4 linked regions of the Oryzias latipes genome follow. The protein of the gene in region 3 purifies or fractionates together with the protein of the main gene of each other region. This does not show direct contact. Links are inferred from orthologs where the notes say so. Each region holds a gene or a part of one and is shown on either strand. Other genes may lie near its edges. The genes, in order: limd1, sav1, lats2 and ajuba.

The links.
Region 1: the proteins of lats2 (region 3) and limd1 purify together in Homo sapiens (affinity purification with mass spectrometry; 3 studies listed by BioGRID and IntAct, with this or other methods). This does not show direct contact. The link is inferred for Oryzias latipes from reciprocal best matches to the Homo sapiens genes LATS2 and LIMD1.
Region 2: the proteins of lats2 (region 3) and sav1 purify together in Homo sapiens (affinity purification with western blotting; 4 studies listed by BioGRID, with this or other methods). This does not show direct contact. The link is inferred for Oryzias latipes from reciprocal best matches to the Homo sapiens genes LATS2 and SAV1.
Region 4: the proteins of lats2 (region 3) and ajuba purify together in Homo sapiens (affinity purification with western blotting; 3 studies listed by BioGRID and IntAct, with this or other methods). This does not show direct contact. The link is inferred for Oryzias latipes from reciprocal best matches to the Homo sapiens genes LATS2 and AJUBA.

Annotation. Positions count from the first base shown.
Region 1 is NC_019874.2:10,095,834-10,103,362, reverse strand, and holds the end of limd1 (LIM domain-containing protein 1), read right to left. Parts: intron 6,692-7,529; coding exon 6,629-6,691; intron 5,454-6,628; coding exon 5,323-5,453; intron 4,812-5,322; coding exon 4,760-4,811; intron 3,639-4,759; coding exon 3,570-3,638; intron 3,203-3,569; coding exon 3,059-3,202; 3' UTR 2,211-3,058; downstream 1-2,210. UniProt on the Homo sapiens protein: Adapter or scaffold protein which participates in the assembly of numerous protein complexes and is involved in several cellular processes such as cell fate determination, cytoskeletal organization, repression of gene transcription, cell-cell adhesion, cell differentiation, proliferation and migration.
Region 2 is NC_019880.2:1,303,690-1,311,359, reverse strand, and holds the start of sav1 (protein salvador homolog 1), read right to left. Parts: upstream 4,719-7,670; 5' UTR 4,471-4,718; coding exon 4,377-4,470; intron 3,245-4,376; coding exon 2,768-3,244; intron 770-2,767; coding exon 499-769; intron 1-498. Other genes in the region: nin (ninein), read right to left, coding at 7,649-7,670. UniProt on the Homo sapiens protein: Regulator of STK3/MST2 and STK4/MST1 in the Hippo signaling pathway which plays a pivotal role in organ size control and tumor suppression by restricting proliferation and promoting apoptosis.
Region 3 is NC_019879.2:11,539,118-11,546,912, forward strand, and holds the start of lats2 (serine/threonine-protein kinase LATS2), read right to left. Parts: upstream 4,344-7,795; 5' UTR 4,093-4,343; intron 3,884-4,092; 5' UTR 3,805-3,883; intron 1-3,804. UniProt on the Homo sapiens protein: Negative regulator of YAP1 in the Hippo signaling pathway that plays a pivotal role in organ size control and tumor suppression by restricting proliferation and promoting apoptosis.
Region 4 is NC_019876.2:18,017,734-18,025,478, reverse strand, and holds the start of ajuba (LIM domain-containing protein ajuba), read right to left. Parts: upstream 5,263-7,745; coding exon 3,795-5,262; intron 1,327-3,794; coding exon 1,225-1,326; intron 1,105-1,224; coding exon 1,037-1,104; intron 953-1,036; coding exon 890-952; intron 1-889.

The sequences.
Region 1 (7,529 bases), on a different chromosome or scaffold from region 3:
CTTTTGCAAGAAATCCATAGTGTTTTGCTGTTTGTACAAATTGTTTTGAGAAATGCACACACGTATTTGCAAACTTCAATTCTGATCTGAGAATTGTACAAAAGCGACTGAGAAAAACTGTAACTCCCACCTAAGATCTTCAATGGAGTTGAGATCTGGAGACTAGCTAGTCCACTCCAGGACCTTGAAATGCGTCTTATGAAACTACCCTTTCATTACCCGGGCAGTGAGTTTGGGATCGTTGTCATGCTGAAACCACGGTTTTCACTCAAGATCTGACAAAACATGGCCCCATTCATTCTTTCCTTTACACTTTATATCAGTCGTTCTGGTCCCTTTGCTGAAAAACAGCCCCAAACCATGATGTTTCCACCCCCGTGCTTTACAGAGAACATGGTGTTCTTTGGATGAAATGCAGCTTTCTTTCTCCTCCAAACACGAGGAGAGTTCTTACCAAAAAGTTCTATTTTGGTTTCATCTGACCATAGGACATTCTCCCAATCCTCTTCTGGATCATCCAAATGCTCTCTAGCAAACTTTAGATGGTCCTGAAGATGTACTTTGTTACTGATGGTAGCCTTTGTTACTTTGGTCCCAGCTCTCTGCAGGTCATTCACTAGATCCCCCATGTGGTTCTGGGATGTTTGCTCACCGTTCTTTTGTTTATTTTGACTCCATCGGGGTGAAATCTTGCGGGGAGCCCCAGATGGAGGGAGATTATCAGTGGTCTTGTTTGTCTTCCATTTCCTAATCATTGGTCCAACAGTTAATTTCTTCACAGCAAGCTGCTTACCTATTGCAGATACTGTTTTCAAAGCCTGGTGCAGGTCAACAATTGTGTTTCTGGTGTCCTTAGACAGCTCTTTGGTCTTGGACATAGTGGAGTTTGGAGTGTGACTGTTTGAGGTTGTGGACAGGTGTCTTTTATATACCCGTATTTTCCGGACTATAAGTCGCTCCGGAGTATAAGTCGCACCAGCCCAAAATGCATTATAAAGTAGAAAAAAAGCACAGATAAGTCGCACTGGACTATAAGTCGCATTTTGACGGGAAATTTATTTGACAAAATCTGGGACCAAGAACTAATAACTTTCATAACCTCATATGACACAATCATAGCAGACTGTTTATCTCATAATTTCACAGTAATTATTTCTCAAACTTATTTATTTATTCCTTTCATGAAGCATCATTGGCCAACTAATACTCTGTTTTCATCCTGTATTTGTAGAAACAGTTGTCGTTTTTATTGCATTTCTGAATCTATGAAATCATTGGAAAATAGAATATTATGTTTTTAGCCTTCAAGATCTTACTGTAAAAAAAAGTTTGCTGATTCTCTGAGTCACTTAACATACTCCTAACACTTAACATACCTCATACATCAAATTGACCCAGGAACATCATCTCTGTTCCTCACAAATGAACATAACAGGAGGGTTAACAATGTATTTATTTCAATTTATTTCTAATATAAGTCGCTGCGGAGTATAAGTCGCACCCCTTGCCAAACTATGAAAAAAAGGGCGACTTATAGTCTGGAAAATACGGTAGATAACCAGTTCAAACAGGTGCCATTAATACAGGTAACCAGTGGAGGACAGAAGATCATATTACAGAAGAAGTTACAGGTCTGTGAGAGCCAGAAATATTGCTTGTTTGTAGATGATCAAATACTTATTTTTCAAATAAATTCTATAAAATCAGACAATGTGATTTTCTGGATTACATTCCTCATTTTGTCTCTCATAGTTAAGGTCTACCTATGATGAAAATGACAGGCCTCTCTCATCTTTTCAAGTGAGAGAATTGCGCAAATGGTGGCTGACTAAATACTTTTTTGCCCCACTGTATGTCAGTTTATTCCTCCTACTGGCACAAAATCAATTTTTGAATTTTTGCATGTACTTAACAGAGCTTCATTACCAAGTATGTATTGCATAGTCAAAAGTTCTACTGAAGAACCGCATACCATGATCCTTCCCCGCCAAAAGTCACATTTTGCATGGAGCAGTCAGGTGACTCATTTTCCCCCCGGCTTCAATTCATTTGAGTTTTTTAGTGATGTGAGGCTTATTAGTAAACCGTGTAAAATAAGAACACCAATAAAAATCAAAAAATAAATAAAGTTAGTTAGATTTTGTTTGTTTTTTTGAAAGGTGACAAAAAGTTCCTGAACAAACGTGAAGTAAAGGTTCCATCATTACAGATTGGTATTAAAATCCCAGTTTTAATAAAAATAAAATGGATAAATTCAAAGCAGCTGATGTTTATTGAAACACTTTCTTTGCAATAATAATACAGCATTAGCTTTACATTTTCTAATAAACAGAGAAATGGCCTTCACAAATGAGTGAAGCTTAAATAATGAACTGAAGACTCGAGTAATTAAAGGTTTGGCGGGAAAAACATCTCACACTGCAACCATGGTTAGCATTTGATCAAAGTTCCCTAAATCCGCTCTGTACTTGCATCTATACTTTAAAAATATTTACCTGCAAACCCACAAATATATATATATTTAAAACTATTTAATAGATGGCCCTGAATATATGTGCATAGGAAAGTCCATTACTTCAGTCTAAGTGCTTTTATCAGCGTGTGTGAGTTTATCCTTTCACCACTCAGCACTGCAATCTGTCCGTCTGAAAACCTGTTGTGTTGTGACCGGTACTTTTTACGGTTCAGATCCAACGGCCAGCAGATTGATCTCAGCCTGAACCGTTAGGCTCCAGAGGTTCATGTCAGTAACGTGCGAGTTAACGCCTCGGAAAGGAGGATGACTGTGTCTCCAGCTGAACGTGAAGAATCGCTGTTGAAGTGCAAATACGAAAGAGAAGGCACTCCGTTTACAAACACAAGAGAAAAACTTCATAGGATAATCATATGCATTCAACTTTGGTTAATCACAATACTTTATATCTGAGTCATAGCCGGTCTTCAGAGTTCATTCCTGAAGGGTGTGATGCCGTAATCAATCCTTTACAACAAGAATTGAACAGGCGCCATGTTTGACAGTTCCTCCTTGCGACCAGCAGTCGTCTCCCTGCGGCTGCAGCTAGAAGGAGGAGGCAGCAGCAGCAGCAGGAGGAGCGGGGACGCCTGTCTGGATGTGCTTCAAGTGGCAGGAGTGGCAGAGGAGATGGCCATTCAGAGGGTAGCAGCGGTGACCCTCTTCGTCGTTTAGCTCCATCTTGCAGTCCTGAACGTGAAGAAGCAAAGATGAGAGAGAGCGACTGCTGACTCATTCAGACGGGAAGGAGACTCACTCATCTGCTGGTTGGTCAGCAGTTTGTTTGGTTTTTTGTGTTGCTGAGACAGAAGCACAGGACTGAAACAACAGGTCAGTTTGTCTCAGCAGTTAAGCTGCCAATCAACATTTGACAAAGACAAATAAATAAATAAATGAGCAGTTTTATAGCCGCTTCACTCAGCTCTGCATAATTATCAAGGCTGTAATTAAGATCAGGGATCTGCTCATTAGAACTTCCCTTAATGAGAACACACACACACACACACACAGCTCGATTTGAACTTTTGCATGTAGGACTTAGTGCATCGTTGCTCACCTCGCAGTGATAGCATTCCACATGGTAGTCCTTCTCCATGGAAACCACGCGGATGGTTTCGTCAGACCCCTGCAAAGGAAAGCAGACGGTGAGTTGTCCTGAAAAACACACACAGAAGCCTCAGGGTGTGAGCTGCTTTGAAAGCAGATCCACGGATAAGATCCACAGATGTCAGCTCCTACGATTCGTATTTAAAGGAATCCTGTTTAACTCAAGTGAGTACAGCATTGCCCTTTTTATTCGCGGGGTTCAGGGAGCAGAGACACCCGTGAATACGTAGAATCTGCGATTACGGAGAACCACCTCCACCCCCGCAGCCGGAGAACGTCCGTCACTGATCCCTACTCATCAAAAACCCTTCTGAAACATTTTTGATGCTTTGTAAAACATTTATTAAAAAACATTGCTCAGCATCCAGTTTTTTTTAAATATATATTCAGGGCAATAGACTGTTTTGTAGCGTACTTTATAACACACATTAGGAGTGTCTCTCTGTGCCTTAAAACCTGGAACCCGTGCCTCATCCTTCATCAGTTACGTGCCAAAGGTCCTGCAGCGTGTTTGAGGGTCACTTCTTCCAGAGGAGGCTGGTTTCATCCATCACTCATTCATCCGGATGATATTTATTCTCCGCCATCATCTTCCTCAGCGTTTCAGGACTTTTTGTCCGTCTGCTTCTGACTCAGCTGATGCCGTTTCTCCATGCAGGGGCACAAACTTTGGTTACAGCGATTCAGGAACCGGTGGAACCAGCTGTAAAATATTCTTTAGCAGCCGGCAAGGAAGCCGACAGGCCGGTGTTGTAAAGAGGCTGGATCAGCAGCCAGACAGAATCTGTGCCCCTTTTCAAATACGACAATGAACTCCCACAAGCCCCAGTTGAAATCATAAACATCCACCGTTTTTTTAATTATTTTTTTTTACCTTTTTTGGAGCCAAATATGAGTGCTATGAAAGAATAGTTCACTCTGCCCAAAATTCATTATTTTAACTCGGTATGTGCAAATTTGGGTGAGTTTGGAGTATGTGGCGAGGGTGAAATGAACGCTCTGAAGCACAGGTATTAAGAAGTATTGCAAAAAAAAAGCTGGGAATAATACCAACAAACAGTAAAACAACACATTTTACTCCCATTTCTCTGTTTTTTGGATTTGAAATGTAAATAAGAACAGAAGTAAAGAAAAGCATACCTCTGAAGGTAAAATAGGCTGGTTGCAGGCAGCACATTTAGGGGCAAGGACCCTAAAAAAAACACAAAGTAAGTTGTCTGGATTAAAATAAAGGCTTTCTAGTTCCTTCATACATACGATCATACATGCGCTGAGGAAAAAGGAACCATAAACAAAAGTCTGAGTTTCTAAGCACATGGCAGGCACCTTGATGTCTGGGAAGAATTACATTGTGCAGAGCACCAGTCAAATCCAGACTATGCACAGTGAGCTTTGTCTGATTGAATCGGAACATGCGGGGGCCTGCCAGGCAGTGAGAGGAGAGCAAGTACATGTCGACCCAGCTGAGGCAGCAGCAGCAGCAGCTGCAGCAGAGAGGAAATCAATCCGGTGTCAGCAGTTCCTGTGAGCGGCTCATGAACCAAACCACACAGAACCAGAGAGATGTTTGCTCCTGCAGGCAGACACGTGCCTCCTCACACCTCCAACTAGACCCCCCTCCCCTCCCAGCACTTCCACGACAAAATAAACCTCTTGTGTGTCCGCTGCACGTGGCAGACCGACACTCAGCCGTGGAGGGTTACCGGTGGTAGTCTCTGACGCAGTAGATCTTGTTCTCGGTGTCCACGGTGAAGGGCACCCCATCCAGGCTCTCATTACAGATGACACAGCGGAAGCAACCGGGGTGGTAGGACTTCCCAAGAGCCTGCAGGATCTACGAAGATGGGAAATAATCTGTTAATCTGGGTTAGCCAACAAATAGAAAACAACAACAAACGTTATTGTCTGATCTTTTGACTTGATTTTGTAATCCCACCTGGATTTTAGGAGCACGAGACGTGTTTTCTACAATATGGTACTGCACTCATGGGGAAACAATTATAAAACATCATTACATTCACTGTTAATTCTTCAAAAGAGGGCGATACGAATCATACATAACGTGGGTTATCTGGATCATACACATGCATTATTCTTACAATCAAAATTATTGAAACTTAAAGATCTGGTGGAGCTGCGCACAGCATTACTCATGTTCAAAGCCACATACAGCTTACTACCAGCAAATATACAAAAATTATTCATGAAAAGAGAGGGAGAGTACAGTTTGGGAAGAAAACAAAATTTTTACATACACAAAGCACGCACAAATAGAAGATGTTTCAGTGTTTCTATTTGTGGAGCAAAACTGTGGAACAGTAGAGAAGATGAAATAAAGCAATGTCCCAACATAAAACTCTTTAAAATAAGATATAAAAATATGATTTTAAAACGATATTCAAATATATCGGATGGATATTAGATGTATATATGTATGTAAGTATACATATGTAAAAATATATATGTGTATATTATTCTTATCTTAATATGCGCATAGTATTCTTCAATAATAATTCATGCTAAGTATTTAGGACAGTACTCTGTGAAAATTATTATACCTTATGAAACATTGTGTATAAATAAAGAAGCTGCTTACTAATGTAATTAATATTGATGAGGAATAGGGGGTGAGTTTATATAAGTTTATACTTTTTCTCACTCCTTTTCGAATATGTATAATTGTTTAATTGTTTGTAGTATTTGTGTTCATATATGGAAGAAAAAAGAAAAAGAAAAAAATTCTGTTTGTGTTTATAACGGTTCTTGAGCGTGAACGTTTTCTTTATATTCTCTTTTTTTATTTATGTCTGTTCTTTCTTTTTGTTTTGTTTTGTTTTTTTTAACATATATTCGAAATAAACTTGTTTCCATTCCATTCCACTTATAACACCTCATCACACGTGAGTAATGAGGAACCAGACCTCAATCTCTGAGTTTGCAGAAAGCTTAGTGTGGCTACAGCCATTCCAAGCGTCTACTGAGATCCTCTGGAGCTCCATCAGCACGTACCATATCCATGATGAGATGTCCGCATGCGTTGCACTTGTCAGCTGATTGCTGGAAACCAGAGTACTAAACAGAAAAGGGGTCATATGTGCAGAATTAGCACCTTTCAGGGTTTGTACACTTTTTTTAAGCAATGCTTTTTACATAATCTTTTACTGAATTTCCAAAATAAACACATTTGCAGGTGATGTCGCTAAATCAAACCAAGACACACATTGATGCATCCAAGTTTGTCTGCCGGAACCAAACAGTTAAAATGCAGCGGCCGCATCAACGTCAGTTTCTGTTGGTGTGGAGGAAACGGCAGTGACGTCTGGAAGCGGACCGCATTCAATAAACTAAAACAAAATACTAACAAAAAAACACAGATGATCTTTGTTTGTAATTTTTTTTCGTGGTTTTTGTTCTAATTTTTGTAGGAACTTACTGATTCTTGAGAGTCGGGACAAAAGAACTTCAGAAAAACGAAATTTGTTCTATCTTCTCTTCCAAAAATGTTTCATTTTCATGATATTTATTGTTTAATACATTTTTTAACCCTCATCTTTAATTTGATATAAATGTTAAGGACTTAATATTTTTCAATGCTGGTGACTTTTGTGACCTCATGCTGAAGACAAGAGAAATACCAGAGGACGCCTCATCACTACTCATACATTTCAGCAAAAGAGTCTTTAAAAAAATAATTTTCTATGCTAAAACATAACACCAGTATTCACAATTCCTTTACATCTAACATGTAGAGTAAGTCAATCCATTTTAAATTCATGATTTTTATCCATAAAAAGACCTTTTCATGTGGGACATGTTTTGTCCCGACTCTCATAAACCAGTGAAATACCAAATGACTAACCTCATCCGCTCATGAAAACTAGAAGATCATCTGCAAATTAAAGTAGAAAAG
Region 2 (7,670 bases), on a different chromosome or scaffold from region 3:
GATGGATTTACAGAAATCTCAGATTTCTCAGAAAAGTTGAAGCTCAATATCGTCTGAAATTAGATGAAAAAAGATGTGCAGCACAGATAAATATGCCAAACACAAAAAGGCTGGAATCTCTTTTACGAAACCAACAAAAATGTTAAAAACATTTTTCGTTAAAAAGCTTTTTACTAAAAGTTGAATGAGCTGAAAAGGCTGAACTGCAGAATGACGGCGTTCGGATCGGAGCTGATTTTCAACCTGAAGGTTTTCTGAGCATCAAATGAGGCTTTTTAGGAGGAAAAAATGTCTGTTTACGCCTTAAAGCTACGCCATCATCCATGGTTATGGGGGGGTCTATATATTTATATATACATAATTCACTGTTGTTGTGAATTTAGGCTACACTAATAAAATGTAATTGTTTCACTTTTAATGTTTTGATATTAATGTAAACATTTATACTTGTGGTGTTTAAATGTTGAAATAAGCCCTGAAACCGGGGCGTTAGCAGACCTGGGGGCACACGGGTGTCGGTACTGCGCCCTCTTGTTGACGTGGTCCACATAGTAGACCCCGAACTCGGCGGACTCCACCTTCTCCCAGCCCGGGGGGAGCCCCTCCCTCTCCAGGGGGTGGCTCCAGTGGGTGGTGTTGGTGTTGTGGTCGATGAAGTACTTCCTGCCGCGGATGGTCCAGTCCACCGTCCAACCGGCTGGGAGGGGGAGGTCCTCCCCCGCCAGGCTGGACAGGTTCCCCAGAGACTTGGCCTGGATCTGGCTGATGCCTGAAGGAAACAGAGAAACATCGGGAAAACCGGGAGACTCCGGGGAAAACCGGAATGTTTTCTCTGTGTGGGAAAGAGGCGGCGGGTCTGCGGGACGAACGGAAGGAAGCGGGAGCGCCGAGGACAGGAAGCTCTCTGCTCCACCAGGGAGAGCTCCGTCAACACTTCCTGGAGCGCTCCCGGTGAAGGTCGGCGAGGAATGCGGGTCCGACAGCTGCAGGCGAGCGAGGGGAGGGGCTTCCCGCCTAAACGCCGGCTGGAGTTAGACACATTCTGCGGCAGAAGGAATGCGGTCTCCTCCTTCACCTCCTCATCGTCATTCCTGACCTTTTCCACAGAAAGATCCAGACGCCCCGCAGGAATTTGATACGAGAAGACGCCCGAAGGAGCAAATGTTTAAGAGTCACCGACATGGAAACGGGTTTCCCAAACGCAGACTAAAGTTCTACGACGAATGAAGACGTCCAGACGGGAAAAAAGATGAGAGTCTGAGTTTGATGTGGTGAAGGAACCACCAGGAACCGCTTTAACCACGGGTCAAACATCAGCATGTGCTCCGTGTGGTGACCTTTAACCTCCGGTGAGGGGGAGCAACACGAGGGGGAAGCAAACGGTCCAGAAAGCTTTGAATAAACACCAGGTTTTCCGCTTGAGACCTACTGCAGATCTATGACCTACAGATCTATGACGATTCAGCTGAGGATCATAGACCCGCAGAATCTAGATCAGTGGATCATAGACCCGCAGAATCTAGATCAGTGGATCATAGACCCGCAGAATCTAGATCAGTGGATCATAGACCCGCAGAATCTAGATCAGTGGATCATAGACCCACAGAATCTAGATCAGTGGATCATAGACCCACAGAATCTAGATCAGTGGATCATAGACCCACAGAATGTAGATCAGTGGATCATAGACCCACAGAATCTAGATCAGTGGATCATAGACCCACAGAATGTAGATCAGTGGATCATAGACCCACAGAATGTAGATCAGTGGATCATAGACCCACAGAATCTAGATCAGTGGATCATAGACCCACAGAATGTAGATCAGTGGATCATAGACCCACAGAATCTAGAACAGTGGATCATAGACCCGCAGAATCTAGATCAGTGGATCATAGACCCGCAGAATCTAGATCAGTGGAGCATAGACCCGCAGAATCTAGATCAGTGGATCATAGACCCACAGAATGTAGATCAGTGGATCATAGACCCACAGAATCTAGATCAGTGGATCATAGACCCACAGAATGTAGATCAGTGGATCATAGACACATAGAATCTAGATCAGTGGATCATAGAGCCACAGAATGTAGATCAGTGGATCATAGACCCGAATAATGTAGATCAGTGGATCATAGACCCACAGAATGTAGATCAGTGGATCAGCGGGTCTTCCAAAGAGAATAGATCTATAGATCAGACATCAATGGAACATAGATCAAGGGATTATAGATCTGTGGTACACACATTATAGAATCAGTGGATCGCAGATCTGTAAATTATAGATCAGCAGGTCTTCCTCGACAAAAAATCAAAGATCCGTTGATCTATTTTTTTTGTTATTTTTTATTTTGCTTACTGTTGTTCATTTTTGTTTCTCAGCGTTTTATGTGGCGCCGCAGTCTAGTCTGTAATGTCTGTCTGTTCACCGGCAATGACAATAAAAACCCCCTTCAATCATTGACCATAGATGTGTAATCATAGATCGGTGGATTATAGATCGGTAAATCATAGATCTGTAGAACATAGATTTGTGGATCATAGATCTGTAGAACATAGATATGTGGATCGTAGATCTGTGGATCATGGATTTGTGGATCATCCATCAGAGGATCTATGTCAGATCTATGATCGTTGACTCAAAGATGTTTTTAAAAGATGATCTCATCTTTTCAGGTAAAACCTGCAGTAGAAACCATCAGCTCTTCATTCTTATCTTCACATCTTGATTCTACAACACTTTTCAATCTATCCCAACACCGTTTACCTGAGGGGGGGCGGCTCGGGGCTGGGGGCGTGTGCTGGCGGGGATGTCTCATGAAGTTGTGTTCGCCGGGTTCAAAGTATCTGTAGTCGTCGGGAAAGCGCTCTGCCGCCCTTCGGGGTCGCTGCTGCTGCGGGCTGTCGTAATACGCCTCGGGGGGGTAATAAAAGCGGGCCGCGTCTCCGTTCTCCGACACGTGGCTCACGTCCGTGAGGAAGGACTGCGTGGAGCCCCGGTAATCATGGGGAAGGTCGCCCAGGCTGCGAGGCAGGTAGGGGGGCGCCGACATGCGGTGGCTCTCCCGGCGTGCCACCTCCTGCGGCGGCCTCTGCACGGGCGGGCGCAGGACGCTCTTGCTCTGGGACGCCACGGACTCCCGGCTGGATGCAACGGGGTAGGTGGAGGACCCCAACTCCGGCGGGGGGCCGTCGGTTCGTCTGGGGATGGTGGGTCCATGGCGAACGAACGAGGGCATAAGGTCTGCAGAGAAACACGACTTCAGCATCAAAGGAACCTGTTCCCACCAAAGATGAAACCCTGACAACCGTCCGTTTCCTCCTTTCTGGCGAACAATTGTCGAAATGACGGAAAGCGAGTTTGAGTTTATAACAGATTCATTTAATGAAACTGTTTCAGTTTCATGTAACCCTTGTGCTATCCTATGACCCCCCCTCTTCCATTGACGTGTTCTCCCTACCAGGACAAAGGTGGATAAAGGTGGAAAGATTTCATGTAATCCATGGACACCAGTGAAGATCACAAATCATTGAAGAAAAAAGGTTCAGCGCACTGTCTAGTGGGTCTAGATGACCCATCCCCCAATGGTAAAGTGCCTAGGATAGAACAAGGGTTAAGGTCATTTATTGCCTGTTTTCTGGCAGAGACAGCATTTCTGCTCATTTCAAATGTAAGAAGAACCAGAAAATGACTGATGTTTGGAAGGACAAAATCATCCAAATCTTGAAATTCTAAACCTAAAATGTTTCAAATATGCGACCAGAAAAGAAGGAATTTTCTAAAAATGCTTCAGAAGAATCAGCTGAACATGAAGATGTTAATATTTCTGCAGGACAGAACAGATGAATCTTTTGATGTTTGGTGTTATTGTTAAAAATTACTTTTGCAGATTCTTTTTTTTTTAAAATGATTTGTTTTAAAATGGCTAGACCCCCCCCCACCCCAAATTAAACTCACATCTGCATTTGATCAACGCTTGAACCAAATCAAAAGTTTAAATGTTCAAACCAGCGGTTTTACGTCATCAAAGCACATCTACGCCATCAAAGTACATTTAAGATCAAAGAAATGTCCTTTTGATGCGCCGCAACCGTCGGCTGCAGGTCGATGAGCGACATTTGAGATCAAAAACAACGAAAGATGCGCAGTCAGAACAAACAGAACTTTTTTCTGGCGGTTTTTCGCAGAATTGAGGTTCAGCCCGCAGGTAAGACGTCAAGTCCGTGTTTCTAACGTCACTCGGTGGCTCGTTGAGTTTCTGACGCGGGAATGAGAGCAAAGTTTGTTTAAAAAAATTTTTTTTTCCCCGTCTCCGTTCTACAGTGATGCGCTTTCAGATAGCGGCTAACTTGAGCTAACTTGTTGCGCGGCTTACTTCGGAGGAGCGGCGACGTTTCCTTCTTCACATACTTCCCGTGGACCTCGGCCGGTTTGGACGCTTCGTTTTTACTTTTCTTTCGCGAGAGCATCACTCAAAGCTCGAAGCCTCAAAACCGCGACGCTCTGAAGTCATCCTCCGACTCGGCGACCGTCCCGGTCGCTCATTTTTCCGCTCCGGTTAGCCAGCAGCTAGCTAGCCAAACTGGAGCCTCTGGGAGAAGGAGCGAGCTGCCGCGGCGGCGCCATCCCACCGCGGATCCTCCTTTCCCGGCTGCTGGCTGTCCAGTCCTCCCTACCGTTGATGCGCCCCCTGGCGGACGTTTCAGAGAAATACACCTCGGCTTTAATAGAACGTTACTGCAAATGTACGGATGACCCCGAGGGTCATAAAAAATCATTTAGAAACAAATAATTTCAAAAATTAAAAATAAAGAATAAGTACGGTAGAAAGTAAAAGATGTCACTCAAATACTACATCGAGTGATTTCTAAGTAGAATTTCAAATTTACAAACTACTTCTTTATTAAATAACCTAAAAACTTTACAGTTCTGCATCTTTTTTAATTCATTTTTTTTTAAATAATTAGATTAGATTTAATGAAGTTATTTCACTTTATTAAATGTAGTGGTGTGCCACTAAACATTTTTTTAAAAAGTACATATACTTCATTTTTTTAAATAAATTAAAAATTCTAGGTTTTCTATCTACGTCATAATTCTATTTAGTTTAGTTGATGTACATTATGATGGACATTTCCTCCAGTGTCATTTCATCTAGCTTGTGTCAAATCTGAATTTATAACATTGTCCCATAGTAAATGGTTTATTCCGGCTTCAACCAAATGAAGGCAATTCAGTCGCAACGTTGTCATATTACAGACGCCGCCATGTTGAAGCCAGACGTCAGTAAGCAGTGGTGGGTCTGAGTTTCTATGGCAACCACTCTCCTCAATCAGGATTATCAAAATGTTAAATAGGTATCAGACGCAGAACGGTTCTTCTGACCAACAGAAGCTGTTTTTCTACAGACATCTGTGGGAGTTTGGCTTCCTGGAGCCACTTCCTGTTTGGAAACGCTCATCCCGACACGTACAGTCAGGACCATAAATATTTGGGCAGAGACACATTTTTAACTTAGTTTCTGTACATTACCACAGTGAATTTTAAATAAAACAACTCAGATGTCATTGAAGTGCAGACTTTCAGCTTTTATTCCATGGGTTGAACAAAAGGATTATATAAATATGTGAAAAACTAAAGCATTTTTAAACACAATCCCTTCATTTCATGGACTCATCAGTAATTGGACAAATGAAATAACTGCAAACAAAATGTTCATTCCCAATATTTGGTTAAAAAGCCTTTGTTGGCAATGACAGCCTGAAGTCTTGAACTCATGGACATCAGCAGATGCTGGTTTTCTCCTTCTGAATGCTCTGCCAGGCCTTTACTGCAGCGGCAAACAGTTGCTGTTTGTTTGTGGGCCTTTCTGTCTGAAGTTTAGTCTTCAACAAGTGAAATGCTGCTCAGTTGGGTTCAGATCAGGTGACTGACTTGGCCATTCAAGAATATTCCACTTCTCTGCTTTAATAAACTCCTGAGTTGCTTTGGCTGGATGTTTTGGGTCGTTGGGCCATCCAATCAGTTTGGCTGCATTCACCTGGATCTGCGCAGACAGGGCTGCATTCACCTGGATCTGCGCAGACAGTTTGTCTCTGAACACCTCAGAATTCATTGGGCTGCTTCTGTCCTGTGTCACGTCATCAATAAACACTATTGTCCCAGTGCCACTAGCAGCCATGCACGCCCAGACCATCACACTGCCTCCACCGTGTTCTACTGATGATGTAGTGTTCTTTGGATCAGGAGCTTCTCCACGCCTTCTCCATTCTTTTCTCTTGCCATCATTCTGGTAGAGGTTGATTATGGTTTCATCTGTCCAAAGAATGTTTTTCCAGAACATTTTTAGATGCTTTTTAGCAAAGTCCAATCTAGCCTTCCTATTCTTGAGGCTTATGAGTGGCTTGCATCTTGCAGTGTTCCCTCTGGATCTACTTTCATGCAGTCTTCTTTCTATGGTAGACCTGGATATTGATCCGCCTCCCTCCTGGAGAGTGTTGTCCACTTGGTTGGCTGTTGTGAACGGGTTCCTCTTCACTATGGAAATGATTCTGCCATCATCCACCACTGTTGTCTTCCGTGGACGTCCAGGTCTTTGTGCGTTGCTCAGTTCACCAGCGCTTTCTTTCTTTCTCAGGATGTACCACACTGTTGATTTAGCCACTCCTAATACTGTAGCAGTTTCTGGTTTCATGTTTTTTTTCTGTTTTCTCAGCTTAATGATGGCTCCTTTCACCTGCATGGAGAGCTCCTTTGACCGCATGTCTGTTCACAGCTAAATCTTCCAAATGCAGCACGAGTCCTCTAATCAACTCCAGGCCTTTTATCTGCTTCACTTATGACATAAGGGAATTGTCCACACCTGCCCATGCAATAGCATGGTAGACAATTGTCCAATAACTAATGAGCCCATGAAATGAAGGGATTGTGTTTAAAAATGCTTTAGTTTTTCACATTTTTATATAATCTTTTTGTTCAACCCATGGAATAAAAGCTGAAAGTCTGCACTTCAATGGCATCTGAGTTGTTTTATTTAAAATTCACTGTGGTAATGTATAGAAACTAAGTTAGAAAGAATGTGTCTCTGTCCAAATATTTATGGTTCTGACTGTATGTGGATATTTATCCCGGTTGTTGTCAGGCTTGTTTTATTCATTCTATAAACCTTCTTGTTGAAACTTTAAATATTTTTGTTTCTGAAAGTGGATCTGAATTATGCAGAGAGAAACAAAAACAAACATCAGACACACTTCATTTACCCCCCCCCCCATATTCTGCTTTATTGAGACACTCAAACCGTCAGCCGCCTCACATTTTCCAAACATCATTTAATGTTTATTATTGCATCTCAGCAGCTTTTCAAGTGTTTGTGGTTAAATAAGTAAAGGAGCGTCTGCATGATGTCATAGAATAAAACGGCTAAAAACTGGTCGCGAGGATTCCTTCGTTTGGACAGATATTCTATTAAAATGACTTATTGCTCAGAATTATATTGTGGGATAAAACCTGACAGTCGTGGTCCGTGTTGGTGCATGGGGGGGGCGTCCCTCCAGTTAAAATGAGTCCATCAGGCAAACATCTGGACGGCTTTGACTCCTGGATCAGACACTCCTTCAGAGCGCCACCTCTTCAGGCCACGCCTCCAGGTCATTTGTAGGAGTAGGCCGGC
Region 3 (7,795 bases):
TGCAGCTTTCATGCTCACAAGGGATACAAATAAATAAATTAAATGCATCAAAATATTAAACAAATCTTTATATTTAAACTTAAATCAGTTAGCTCATGAACCAATTCATGTGAAACTTGGATTTCAGGCTAATGGATGACTAAGCAAACACATTTGTTCAACACTGTTCGAAGCCGTCATGGACATCTGTCGCCCTATGCCAAAGTAGATCATGAAAGTATCAATCAGATTAAATCTCAATGAGAAAGAGATTCAAAAATCTATTACAAAGAAATCTCACATTTATTGGATAGATTTTAATGATAAAATGACTTAAAAGCATTAAATGGTTGTCATGCAAATTTAATGAATTTAATGATGATTTAATTTAAAAGAACAAGAATTGGCTTTGCAATTTGTTTGTATTGTAACTTTTAATCAGAGAAGCAGCTTCAACTGATTTGCTGTTGTATTAAAAAGTACATATATTACAATCAGATTGTACTTCTACTCAACTTTGTGAAGCAAATATGCTATGAAGACATTCCTCAGAGCAAAAACACATTCAAACATGGCCTCACTGTTGTTGTAATGAGTCATATTGCCAAGAGTTACAACCCAACAGATGCAGCAAACCTGGGAAGCTCTTTGAATACACACCCACCCTCCGCCCCCCTGGCCGTCTCATCCCTTTAGGCAATTGTAAGGAAGATCTTCATTGTTAGTACAGATAAAATCGCCTTTCTCCTGCTTTCTCTCTCTCTGGTTTTTTTAAATGCATATCACTGGTGGAAGATTGTGGAGCCAGGCTCCAAAATGTTTCCTCATCTCCTGGATCTCTTTCCTCCATTCCTGTGATGCTTTTGGCACCACATCTGAGCGATGAGCATTCCATTCCACAAGTAACTACAAGTAAAATACCACAGTCCAATCATGGGACAGTCTGTGCTGACCAAAATAAACCGGCAAACACCGTGCATGTGTCCGATCTGAGTCGGGAGACATCTTAAAGACAACCGCTATTCCAAAATCAGTCTATAAGAAACCAGAGCTTCTGCATGTCTCCACAAACACTCATACTGTTGTGATTAACACTATACACATTCCAAACCCTTATCTCGGTTTTGTTTTTACTCTAAAATTACTCCACGTCGGTCAAGAGTCTGTCTGAAGGAATTGGCAGAAACATTTATTTTCCCAAGAGAAAATTACATCTCCCAGTGAAAAATGCAAAGAAATTTGGTTTGAGTTGGCAAAGTTCTATGGAGTTATTTATTATAGGCCTCCAGAGTAAATTTTAAGTTTATTGTCATTTTGACAGCCTGTGCAATACGTGAATCTCAAAAGATGGCGTAAATTGCAATAAATGATTACCTTAAATGTTCAGACACATAAAGAAAAAAACAATCTTATGGAAACTTGAAGTATTTAACAAATCAAATTGAGCCCTTTACGCATTTGACCAAACAGATGGAGCCTTTTTATGTTAGATCAGCGCCTCTAAAGTAGACCAGGGTTCTTTGGGGTATAATTTAAGTTATGTTGGCTTTTATTTAAGTAAACCTTTTTGAGTGAAACGGAAATGTTGAATTAGTTATGCTTTTTTTTGCTCTTTGTCCACATAAATCATATTGTCATTGCAATATTAATCACTGATATCACACGTGAGTTTTCTTCATATCGTGCAGCCCTAGTTTATTATCATTTATTCTATGAACTGCGTTCTAAAAGTAGACAAACTATGCTGCACTTTGAGTTGTCAGTATGGCAGAAAAAGTTAAACATTTCAAAATAAATGAGTATCAAAGAAAGTAGCTGTATTATAACCTTATTTAAAAAAAAAACACCAACCTTAAAAAGTGGGTATAAAGGCCCGTACACACCGGGACGAATATTCGCCAGGCGTTATTCGCCAGCGTTTTTCGCCACGTTTTTTGTGTTCACACCCAGGCGATTTTCGCTGACGATGAGTGGAGTGAACATGCAATTTCATTCCCTGACATTAGATGGCGCTTAATGTAAAACAGAAATACTCCTGTACACAAGGTGGCGCTGCGCAACTTTACGCTTCTTAAAGTCGCTTTTCACTCAGAAGAAGAGAGCAAGTATTTACACGCTTGTCAGAATCAAACAAAGAAAACATGAATATTTCAAGCACCAGTAGCTCCAAGTGGTGCTTGGTTCGGGGATATTTTAGAATGTCCGTCATTATTGCTTCGCGGCTGTGTGTAGACGCTACTTGGCGTCTATCTTCTTCGCTGGTATGTGTGCTCAGCAAGGCAGTTTTGTGTTTGAGCGCCCCCAAGTTGTGTTTTACTGTAACTTCAGAAGCTCCAGACACGTGAGCAAAAGCGCCATTCTCATTGGTCGAGTAGATTTCGACGCGATGCGTCGAAAAAAAAAAACGAACCCGAGGCGTTTTTTTTTTTTGACGCTTTAACGCCTGGCGTTTTTTCGCGTCGGTGTGCACACTCTCGTTGGTGCCCTTTGTTTAGTCACGAGGCGTTAAACGTCGGCGAAAATCGCCGGCGAAATTCGTCCCGGTGTGAACAGGCCTTTAGACAAAGACCAGTGTGTCTGCAGTTCCAACAATGACCACTAGGTGTTGACTTTCAGTTTTAGGATGAACAAAACAAAGTTTATCTCTGCAATTTTTAGCATGGTTTGAAATAAAATATGCACTGCACAAGTAAAATAAAAATTCAAAAGCAACAGATGACAAAACAAACCCAAAATCATAAATAAATGAGATTTCCCACAGCTGCAAATCTTGTCATATAACAGAAGTGCATCTTTGATGATTTCTCATTTGCAGAGGGCCGTCTAGTGATCGGCCTCCTACTTTAAACATAACATGCTTCTAAACAATCTCCAAACATCCACAAACCTTAAGCTATCCATTCAACCTCCTACTCCACCAAGCTTATTCTAAATAAAACAACTCAAATAGCCAAGCAAACCCTTCATTTGAGAGAAGTGGAGTCCTAAGCACTGCTGTACCACCACACATACTGTACCTGTTGCTGTGTCATCATTCAGGGTGTAACGATTAATCAACTTAATCAATTGCTATTCCTACGATCCAACCAAATTGATCAGTGTTAATTAAATTGACCTTTCCTATTAGAAAATCATTTGAAAATTACATTATTGATACTGGAAAATACTATTTGGATTGAGACATGGTAGGTTTGTTTTACTAAAGCAAACAACACGCGTGTGATGCAACAAAAACTGATCAGTCCATCATTCCAGTCCAATGGGTTGAAATTTAGCAAAGAAATGTGACCATACAGTGTGGTAGATTTTCTACTAATGTTCCCTTTGGATTATTTTTGATGTGGAAAAACAACAGTAGGCTGAACTTCAGGAAACTAAAATGTGAATGGATTTACCATTCATTCTTGTTTACTTTTACACATACAACTACGAATTATATCGTCAATCACCAGCTTGGATATGAATCAAATCTTTATATCTCTAGTCTTCACACATCTGGACACATTTAATTTATTTTATTAAAGTGGGATGTCACCTGGAGTAGGTCTACTGACATGTGGGGTTTGTATGTTTTCCCACTAATTTATACAGAAAGTGCATAGAATTAACCATAACAGCTGTTGACCAAGTTTTGTCACACAACACTCAATTAGTGTTTTAAATCAGTGCGGGGAGGGGGGTCACTTCCAAGCAGTTTTCAGTGAACTAAAAGGGGGATTTTTGATCCATAGAAATGTCAGTTAATAACCGTGTGTGGCCTGGATATATATTCCTGATCTCATCAAACCGTTATCCGTGTTGTTTGTCTGAAAGGTGTGTACACACGCGGAAGCCAGCGTTTTAACGCTCTGTGGCCTCCCCCGCTGAACCCCGGGCAGGGCTGGGGGCTGAGAGCAACGCATTCCTGTGAAGGAAAAGGGAAAAAAATGGAGGCATTCCCGTAAAAACCACAGAGCCGCTTCAAACCGAGAAACGATTCCGTTTCTGTTAGCCCGTAACGGTAACATATATGTGCGTTATTATGGGGCATTCCCCCCCTCCCACTTTTCAGCAACAAGTTGTAGAAACAACTTAACTAGCATTCCCTATCCCTTAACGAGTAACCCAACTTACCATGTGTGATGAGAGAAGTGCCAAGACAAGAAGAATCCCAAAGAATAGAGAGTCAGTTCCTTACAAGAAGTAGCGGGAAAAAGTTGCTCGTTTAGCTGCTGGACGCGGAGACTGAAGGCACGCGCTCAGCGAAGACACGGCGACGGGCTGGGAAGGATAAAACGAGCCTCCATTTTCTCCCCAGACTCAAAGAAGGATCCGAAATGCAGCACAAAGTTGGACACTCGCTGCATTGTTAACATTCCTCAGGTCACGTGACGGACCAACGCACGTCAGCACTCACACAGAGATCGTCTATTACGACCACGACTCACCCTGCAGCAGATTCCAGTTTTTGTGTAGTTGAAATCAACTTTGCACAAGTATATCATTTAAAAACTTAAAAGTTAGTTAAAAAAATCACATTTAGAACTACAAAGAAAGGTTACAGTAAGTTGCTTTAGTCCAGTAACGTTTTCTGTATAATTTATTCAAGGATGCATTGTAAGCAACATTGACGTCAGTCTGTTAAAAGATTTCTACCAAGAAAGTTTATTTTTTTTAATTAGGTTAATTAGGTTTAACAAACTTAATGGATAAATATAGATTTTTTTCTAATGCCAGAACCAAAGGGAAAAGTTGTTTACAAACATTTTGAAACTAGATCTAGGTCAACTGTTTTGGCCAACATATTTTAACACTGCATCTATAGATTACTATTCTTGACACTTTGTGAATACTTCAGTAACTAACACTTTTTACTTATACTTGACTAAACAATCATTTTTGCTTCTACCTGAGTATAAACTTTTTTGTAATCCCATTTTTCTAATATTCTACTCACCTCTCAAACTAAGCGCTGTTTCTTTGGCAGACATTACCAAAAAAACAATGGCGTTATTACAAACAATGTTTGTTTTTAGCATTAAAGGAAGAATATTCACCCAAATAGTTATAATATTTTAGAACCAAACAAAACATCAATAAACAAGAAAATTATTTTAAAATTATTTTTGCCACAGTTTTTCAAAATATTATCTTTCCATTGGATGAAAATTGATCAATTCAATCTTGGAAAAAAAAACACTGACTGCAATTATTTAGGTAAGGATTTTTAATTATGTGATTTTACCGCTTGTAGTTTGTTTTAAATTGGATTTTTTTTCCTAAACTTTTGTGACTTTTGCGTACATTGTTGCGAAGTTGTGCAAAACCAAAAAAACGTGTGTGAATAACAGCAGCTGACTACTCAAACTGATGATTTTTTCATACAAAATGAAAGTATTTTCAGATTGCAAGAATTTTAAATCATAAAGTCAGTAGTTTTGTTTTTGATTCAAAATTTCCCAGAATTCCAGATCTGCATGTTAACGAGTTGAAGTAAATTTTTTTAGGAGTGAAGCATCTGTCTTCTTTCCTCACTGACCGCACCACATACTTCAAGGTGGAGCCTTCTGAGCATTTTTCTCCCTTTCATAAATGAAAATATAGCAGTACATTACATTACTGTCACTCCTCCACCACTTCAGCAGAAATCTTGAGCGTTGAACAAATAAATCAAAGCAAAAACAAACTATAATCAAGGATGACACATTACTAACGTGGACAAGTTATCCAAGAATTGAGAAATGAGTGAGGGTAATGGGGTTTCTACCCCAAACGTTTAGTGTTTTTTCAGCCTAGAAAACAAAATACAATGAACAATACTTTATAATTTTATGTCTGAAGGCAACTTTTTTTGAACAGTTGAAACAGTGTCTGTTGTGCTATCCTAGGCACTTTAACATTGGGAGTTGGGTCATCTAGACCCACTAGACAGTGCTCTGAACCTTTTTTTCTTCAATGATTTGTGATCTTCACTGGTGTCCATGGATTTCATGAAATCTTTCCACCTTTATCCATCTTTGTCATGGTAGGGAGAACACGACAATGTAAGGGTGAGGTCATCTAAGATAGCACAAGGGTTAAGAAGAAACAAAATGAGAAACTAAAAACATAAAGGTTTTCTTCTCCATATGTCATTTGTTGTATCTGAGATGACTCAAACAGGAACAGCTACAAAGATTCATGCAATTATATACAAGCTTAAGAAGCAAAAGCATCACTGTGGAAATCAATTCACTACAGTTCTGCTGATGAAGTGTACTGTATGTGCTTTTTCCCCATCAGCAGACACATAGGCTGAAGGGAATGACGACTAAAGAAAAAACAATTGGAGAATGCAAATGATCTGTGATAACAAGCAGAAACTTCTGCAACCGTCTGTGCCTGAGATCAGAAGATACCAGTGGAAAACAACAATGAGCTACACAACCACGTTGAAAGAATGATTCTTTGGAGCAAACCAAATGCTTGCAAGGTTCAATAATGAAGGCGTTTAAAAGATAAATCAAAGGCTCATTTGGAAGACTTTATTAACAGAGGCAATTATCACAAAATAGGCTTCTGGTATTAGCAAACACAGTAGCTTTAGACATTTAGATAAGGCTTTTAGAGCCGCTTCATTTGCAGATATTCCGGGTACTACTGAATTTGCTCAATAACTTAGTCTGGTGTGAACAAGCTACCGTAGTTAGAGATAAAGGTTCTTTGCTTATTCTGTGCAAACCTTTTTCTGAAGAAAATTACAAAACAGAGTAGGACATTTATAAATTCAAAATCTGTATTTGAAGCAGAAGAATGGTGTGCTCATGTTACACTGATCATTCCACCAGAAGACTTTGTTAAATCTACCTGGCTTGGATGGAAAGGATTGAGCCAAGAAAGGCAGACGGGTTATTGTAACACTTATCGTCATGCTGCTGCTTGCGTTTACAAGCAGAGAAGAAACAACAGTAATGCAGTCGTAATCAGGGACTAGAAAAAGACTCTGCAAATGAAAGTTTGCTTTCCTCGCATGAGAAAAAAAACTCTAAAAACTGCATAAAACCCAATGAAACAATAAGTGATTGTTAAGGTCGTCTGGGTTTTCTTCACATAAGTCACTCCAATGGCGCAGCAGAGATGCAGAGGTTGTTCAAGGCACAGGCAACTTGCTCAATCTTGTCCAAAGTTGAGATGTTGGAGGAGCACTCTGTTACTGCAGTGACAGGACTCTCTATGGGGCCCGACAGCATGCTGTAGCGCTGCTTCACCACGGAGACGACCCTGTCCACATGCTGCTGCACACTCTCTGAAACATCAGCCCCCTCTGCACACACGCCAGCAATTTTGAACTGGGCTCCCCGGGCTGCAACAGACTCCCTGATGTCCAGATCATGGGTTGCCAGAAAGATAGCCTTCAGCCAAGCTCCTGTCGCTGATGTTTCCCAGCAATCCCCTGGAGACGAAGGTGACCACGCCTTGAGGAGCCACACCGACCAGATACTTTAACACACTTCCACCTGGCTCCACCGTCTGAGGACACGTTTGCTTCTCACAGCGGTTGGAACAGGGCAATAAGTGATTGTTAAGGTCGTCTGGGTTTTCTTCACATAAGTCACTCCAATGGCGCAGCAGAGATGCAGAGGTTGTTCAGGGCACAGGCAACTTGCTCAATCTTGTCCAAAGTTGAGATGTTGGAGGAGCACTCTGTTACTGCAGTGACAGGGCTCTCTATGGGGCCCGACAGCATGCTGTACCAGGGGGCTGGCTCCTCAAAAGGCATAGTAAAACAGACTACGATGACGGCACAGTCCGGGTGGGAGGCGCGCAAAGCTTCTGGCAGGTTTTTCCTCAGCTCAGC
Region 4 (7,745 bases), on a different chromosome or scaffold from region 3:
GAGGGAAGCTAGTGGGAGAGTGCTCACACAATGGGTGATGGGAAGTGGAGGCGGACTTACTCCGCATCAACAGTCCTGCCCCATAACTCAGAGGTGAATTCCTCTGCAGAAACTATGTCCTAGAAAACGACACAGGTTTTTTGATTTCTGCTAAAAACAGCAAAATCACAATTAAAAGATCACCGGAAATGCTTTTACAAAAAAATCTAAAGATGATCGGAGTGGGACTTTAAGCTACTATGTCTACTTTTTAGCAGCTTCTTTTCTTTTAGTGGAAGTGCTCATCAAAATGTTTCTTTTTTTTTCTTCTGGATTCTCAGAGTTCCTGAAGATAAGCTGTCCTGCTCACAGCTGCCTGCCATGACTGGTAACAATGTGAGAACAATAAAGGTGCGAGCCAGTGAACTGGAACTCTGCAGAACTGTAAAGCTAAGGGGAAGTGTCACATTTTTTGTGAGTTTAACAAATCTGAACAATAATCCACCAGCTGCTAGATTAAATAAAGATACAGAGTTTAACAGCAAACTGTGGATTGATAAACATCTGTCGAATCCGTTTTTTTAGTCCTAAATCCTGTGGATCTGAGATAAACAGACTTCTATTTATATCCTGAGACCAATGTGGTTCATATATGGTAATAATGACTTCTTTATTTATCAAAAAAACCCAAAACAAACACTCCAGGGAAAGCTCCGCCATGGGAAACCGACAAAGGGGCTGAGAGAAGGAATTTCTCCATGTTTGAGAAGGAAAGAGAACGTGGGAAGCAGTTAAGGTGGTGACTGAAAATGACCAAAGACCGGGGATTAGGGCAGGAATGTTGTGCGCCTGCGGTTGCGCCGAATGTGTGTTGCAAAGTGTTTGCACTGCAACCTGACGCAGACCTCACCTGCTCCAGAATGAGGTGGCCACACACAGTACACTTCTCTGCAGCTGCCTGGAACCCTGAAAACTGTAATTAAACAGGGAGAATTACGGAGAGCGGCTGCCAAACGTATACGTCTGTGCCCAAACGCGCCTTGACCTCAGCTCTTACCATGTAATCCTCTTTACAGTACACAGAGCCGTTGACGTTGTAGAAGTCCTTGTTTCTCAGGGTGCGTCCTGCAGGAGGCCAGGAGAGGACGTTTTTGATGGTTACAAAAGGTATTTGGAAAAGGCGGGGCACCATTGGGCAAATACTTTAGAGCATCATCATTGTGTTTAGAGGGAGGGGGTACTGACCACAGGACACGCAGGTGAAGCAGCGGGTGTGATAGAGGTTCTCCTGAGCCTGGCAGGCGTTATCCGCCCCATACACACCTTTCCCACATTTAACACAGGTTCCTGTGGGGAGGAAAGGAAAGAAACAATGGAAACAAACATGCATTTAGCAGAGCCGTCGCTCAGCGTCTCGTCCTGCGCTTTGTTTACGACACATTCCTTAAGGATGTGCCTGAAATCCAACTCCACGCAAAGCGTCAACACTTGTAAATCCTCTCGTTCGCACCACCTAGGGGATTTTCACACAGTCAAAAAGAATCCTGCTACCCCAAGCCCGTCTGTTTGCTCCCCAACCCAGGTGTCTGCGGTTATAAAAGGGGAACTCCAGCGGTTCCGACTGTTGGCAGCCGTTTAAATGCAGCTCAAAGCCGTATTTAGAGCAATGAGGAGATTTGGAATGATAGCAGCGTTTCCTCTCATGAGCCACATTTTTTTTAAGCCGCCTTTCGACGTTTGCGTTTTCCTTCCAGTCAGCAAAGCCAAAAAGGTCCAACTGATTTTCAGGCAACTTGAGTGGAAAAAACTTTCCAGGTCAAAACGGATCAAAGAGTGCTGCTATCGTAAGAATTCTTGGGACGGTTTCCTCCCCTCCTGCTTGGTTCTACAGGCAGCATGTTGAATGTAAAGTAGCAAACTGCAGAGCGTCACACTGTCTGGGATCTATTTAAAGGGTGTAAGTGCTTTTTTTTTTGCCCCCCCCCAACTCTTTAAAATGTGGCCTGGAGACACATAAATCACAAATTCCTACACGATTAGCTTTCTGGGAAACAACTAAAACCTTAAATGCAATCCCTAAAATCCTGACAGATAATAAAAAATATTAATTAATGCCGTGAGCGGCGTTGTACAGCCCGCAGGCACTGCCCTCGCCGCCCCCCTTTTGACCCACCCTCACTGGCTGAGCGGCTGCTTCAGATGCTTCACTCTTCCCCTATGCCACCCTGGTCAGAGCTGCACGTGACAAAGTCATGAAAAAAGAACACTTTTTTTCAATATAGTGGCTTTTCTCTTAGTTTTAATACCATAGTAACCATTATATGTGTTGAATAGGTTTATGTCATTTTTAGAAAAATCTGCAAAAGGAAATTTTTTTAAATTTCCTTGACAATTGAGGTTTTTGTTAACCCCACCCCTATTCCTAATCCAGTAACATTGCTATTATTTCGCTCATCTTGGGCAAACGGTTAATGTATAAAACGTTGACAATATTCTGGTGAAAAATGTGCGAGTCACATTTGCTAGCTCGCCACACAAAGCGCCATTCAAAATCTACACCTTCTAATACTCGAGGAGTAAGGAGGCGATAAATCAAAATCCCCCTGAGGAGTTCACATTTGTAGAAGGTGCTAAAGATGCTGGCCTCTTCCTGAGGTCAAGGGTCAACGAAACTTTAGTTGTGGTTGTAGACTTAAGCTGGTGGCGTGTGTGTGATTTTTATGAAGATCACTTGAACTAAAGTTTTCAATACCCAGAATGGGTAAATCACCAAATTACAAACCGTAGGTCCTGTGGCCAAATTTGAAGTATTTTTTAAGCCCTGTGAGAGATTTTGGCACCTTCCTTTTTTTCAGGTTTTTGCTCGCTGTGGTGTCTTTTTTTTTTTAAATGGGGTTGGCCTTCCTGAGTTTGTGACGAGGATGACATTTTCGCTCAAACGCACAGGAAGGAGGGAGAATTGCAAAAACAATCTGGTCCTTGCAGTTCAAATACAAAATCTCACTGATTGACACCAACTCTTCCAAACTGGTTATGAAATCCCAACAAAACGGCGTATTTTTATTTTCGCTTTTGATAGAGGAATCCTTTTAGCGTCTGCCTTCACGCCTCACAGCTTCCGATTCTCCTCATGACTGAGAGGAGTACAGCATTGGGAGCGTCCCCTCTGGGCACACATACCTGAGCAGGAGAACAGGCTCCAGCACACCGCCCCTGCACACGCCAAGCCAGCCTTTCCACACACACACACACACACAAGCACGCCACCTCAGCGTGGCCTGGAGTCACGCCGACTGTCTCTCCGCCACACAAACACAAACAAAGCCAGAGCCCTAATCTAGTGGGACTCCAGAAGAGTCCAGAGGTGTGTTTATACACATAATTCCTGTTTGACAGCAGGGTTTTAATGACCACATGCATCGGCCGTCTATAGTAAGCTGGCCAGATGTGAGCCTGAAACGCACACACACCTGGAGAGTTGACTAAATGCGCTGACGCAGCATCTCGGTGTCTTCAGCCATCTGCTTGTCTGGATCAGCTTTTTGAAGCCTAAGCGTTTCTTTCTTTCTTTCATTCTGCTTGTTATGGCCTTACATGTCTCTGCAGGTTCCCCGGCATCAGCTATCCATCCATATGCTCTTTCAGCTATTAATCTGTCCATCCAAGCCCTTCATTTAAGGATCAAGCAGTGATCTGACACCAGCCAGTTAGGGAGACAATAATGACAGTTTGACTCTGCACTCCTGCATCAATCCAGAATGAAAACACGGCTACAATTTAGGCTCTGAAAGAAAACCAAAGAACATGAGTCTCACCAAAGAACTCCAGTCGGTTTTCGGCGTTCCCTCCCCCAGCTCCTGGCTCCTCCTGAGGTTTGATCTGACTGCCACATGGAGGGGTTGCTGTCGCTGGAACAGCGGTCCGGTGTTGATCTTTCAGCATCAGGACGTCTGGTATTCCGCCACCTTCCGACGCGGCGTCTCTCAGCAAAAGCCGAGTCAGCTCCTCCTGGTACCTGGTGCCTGGCAGGTCAGAATAGCGGGCCCTCTCTCTCATCACCCCTGCCTCTTTGGCCCTTATGCCAGCCTGCTGATCGTCCCACCACTCGCAACCGCCCTGGTAGCACGCTGCCGCCGGACTCCCCACCGCAGGCGGGTAGGAGTGACGACTGTCGTAAGCGACCGAGCACTGAGTCCAGGCCTCCACGGGGGTTCCTCCAGCCCGGCCGGGGGCTCCGTAACCAGCCGAGGAGCCTCCTGGGAGCATGGAGGGCTGCATTAGAGGGAGGCCTCCGGATGCGGAGTAGCGGGAGTCGTAACCTAAGCTTATGCCACTGGTTCTGTTGCTGCTGCAGCGGCTGCCCATAGGGCTGCCTCCTCCGCCTCCACTGGCTGTGCTGGAGGCGAAGCTGGACCTGGGACTGACCAGAACCGACTCCTGGAGGCTGAATGATGAACATGGACTCAGGGTTTGTCCCGGGGGGTAAAACGTGCTTCCTCCTACAACCCCTCCCATTATATCTGGTACTCGCTGTGGAGGATGAGAGAGGGATGCAGGCCTGTTGCTTTCCCACAATTCACTGCCTGTGCTCATGCGTTTGTAAAACAAGGCCTCCTGAAGCGAGAAGCGCTTGTGCCTCTCATGATCAGAGAGGTAGCTGGGCTCAGCTAGCCCACCTCTGGGGGCTGACCCATACCCCGAGGGGTTCTGGTACAAAGCGGGGACTGAGTGAGGAGGTGGCTGGGAGAGGAGCTGCTGTCGCTTCACCAGTTGCTGGAGCTCCAGGGAGTAACGCCGCTGATTGACGGAGGCCTTGGACCCAAACAGGCCTTGAGGGTCAGCATCAGGCCGGATTTGGTGGTCCATGCCCTCCATGTAACAGGAAGCTCGCTGATGGGAGGCGGGGCGCCTCAGAGGTGCAAGGGTGGTTGGGTGAAGTAGCTGCTCACCATCCGGAGGTACAGTGGAGGAAGGGGGTGGAGTGGTCAGATGCTGCGAGGGACCCATCGCCATCCCTCCTCCGCCTCCCCCACCTCCTCCACTTGCCGGAACGCTCGGATCATTTGTGGTCGCGGGGGCAAGTGGGAACTGGCCGGATCTTGAGGGCGAGGCAGTGGAACTGGGAGCGTTGCCGCCTCCACGTCCTCCGGAGTTAGCAACGTTTGCGTTGCTGTTATTGGAATTGTTGGCAGCGTCGTGCTTCTTTTTCGAACTGTTGAATTTGACACTGCCTGAATCGGTCAGCTTTAACTTCCCTAATAGCTTTGTTATTGGCTTTTCCATGGTGAACCCTTTGGTTATAACCAGGGGAAAAGTCTGGTCTTTCCTGCAGCTTCCTTTGTGCTCAAAAACTGTACAAGTACAAACAGCAGAACAAAGACAGTAAGCTGAAATGTTAAGTCCTAAAGGTAGAAAATGGCTTTAAAAAGTATCACAAAGTGTTGATAAAAACACTTTTCTAGACAGAATAAATATTGAAAAGATAAATAAAAGACGTTTTAAAGTAGGTCCTGTGAGTCATTTATGTGTAAAAACAGACAGATAGGATGGGATGAGCAACTCTCAGAGGAGTTTGAAAATCCTAAAACACATTAAATAGGTCGTACGGGGATTCCTTCATGGACCCTCAGGTGGCTCCTCGTCTGTTTCTTCTTCTTTTTCTTCTTTTATTAGTCTAAATTACTATTTTTTTTTAAAGTTGCTTGACATCCAGGGTGGAGTGGGGGTGTCTCACCGTTTGGGTTTTCTTTTGAAACCACAAAGCGGGGAGGTGAAGCAGGATGCAGACTATCAGCGCTTCATGAGGGTCCAGTGTGAGACGGCACAATAAATCCGCCTGAGCTCACAGACTTGACTCAGCCGACTCCTTCCATTCATCTCGGGACGAAATGAACTTAAATAAATAGGGTTACCGCTTTTAAGAAAGCCCAGGGAAACCACCAACGCCGCGCTGGCCAGACTCCTTCGTCGGTCCGTCCATCCGCTCGAGCTCGACTGCCTTTATCATTCCCGTCTACAAAGCAGGAGTCCTGACCGGCGGAATAGTAGCGGAAAAGTTTGGAAACACAAAAAGGAAGTGAAGGAAACGGCCGCACCGTTACATTTACATCCAAGCAGAGCAGCGCTGAGCTACAAAGAGTCCCACCGGATAATTAAAATCCCTCCCCGTGTGCTCTGCACGGTCGACAACTTTGTTTCTTTCTTTCTTCCCCCTAAATAATGATTTACCTCCCCCTCTTTTCAGCCACGTCAAGCTAGCTACAAGAGAAAATTACACTTCCTGGTGGAGCACTTCAAAATAGTCTGCCTTCAGGCATTGACTGTGTGTCAGAACATTCAACACAGTTTCTTAGAAGGATTATTTGGAGTTTAACTTTATTTAAATTTTATTTAAAAGGTTTTACTCGCCTTTTTTGAGAGCCTTTCTTTGCATTTTGCGACCACAATAGTGCTTTTAAAATTGTTCCATCAAATATGATTTGTTTTTGCTTTTATTTTGACGATAGTATCTCATATCCGGTCGTTCCTAAACACAGGCGAGGAGTTTTTTTTTTGTTATTTCTTTTTTCAGTCTGCAGTGGCTCATTCCCCCCAACAGACCGGAACACCTTTCCAACAACCATGTTTTTTTTTTCTTCTTGTCATTCATGCAAAACTCCCGCAGAAGATGCGATATCGGTCCAAGAAAATCACTTTTTATCCCAGTTCTGAGTGGAATTCTTTTAAAAGATAGTTAAACATAAAATACATTTAGATTTAAAGGTTTTTCTAAAAAATGTATTACCAGAAAAAATGTTATTTATAATTACCTTCGGTTTTAATTGGAAAAGAGGGTTACAAAAGCACCAATTTGACTAAAAAATACGAGATGTTAAAAATTTTAAAAATAATGAAGGCATCAAAAAGGAAAAAAGGCTTTCCAACAATAAAATTTATTCCAATAAACATTGTTACAGCAAAGAAATATCTCACCAAACATAGATTTCCTTTTTTAGTTTTACGCTTACTAGCCTATTACACATTATGATCTCAGTCTTTAACACCCCCCTTCATGCACTTTCTAATAATATGTTATGACGTAAATATGGATATAATTACAGTAAGCAGCCAGTACTGTATGTTTATTACTAAACATGGCTGTCAGTCAGGGACATTTCAGACACTTTTTGTTTATACTTTTGTAAATTGTGTGAAAAGTAACATAAGGAGCAAAATAGAGGGTGGCTTAATCTCATTCCCATAGGGTGTAATATATATATATATATATATATATATATATATATATATATATATATATATATATATATATATATATATATATATATATATATATATATATATAAAAACAGTCTGCATGACTGAGTGCTTGATTTTATACACATGTGGCCAGGCCAAGTGATAAGGACACCTGATTCTGATCATTTGGATGGGTGAGTAAATACTTCTAGTACTTGGTAACAAACAAACTACCCAAAAATGGGGAGTAATGGTTTCAATGTATCGGCTTTGTAGAGATACAAAAAATAAAAATGTTTCTCAGAAATTATCTAGACCTTAAAATGTTATTTTGAAACAAATTATATGAAAATAACTATCCTCTTGTTTACAATCATTTTGGCAGAAAATGGACTGTTTACTATATTGAGATAATGTCAACTTTTAGAATTAAAAATGTATGAAAGTTACTAAATAAAAGTAATAGCATTCACCAACCTGGTTTATAGTCCAGTTAATTATGGTATACAGTCTTAATGTATTCTGTAATA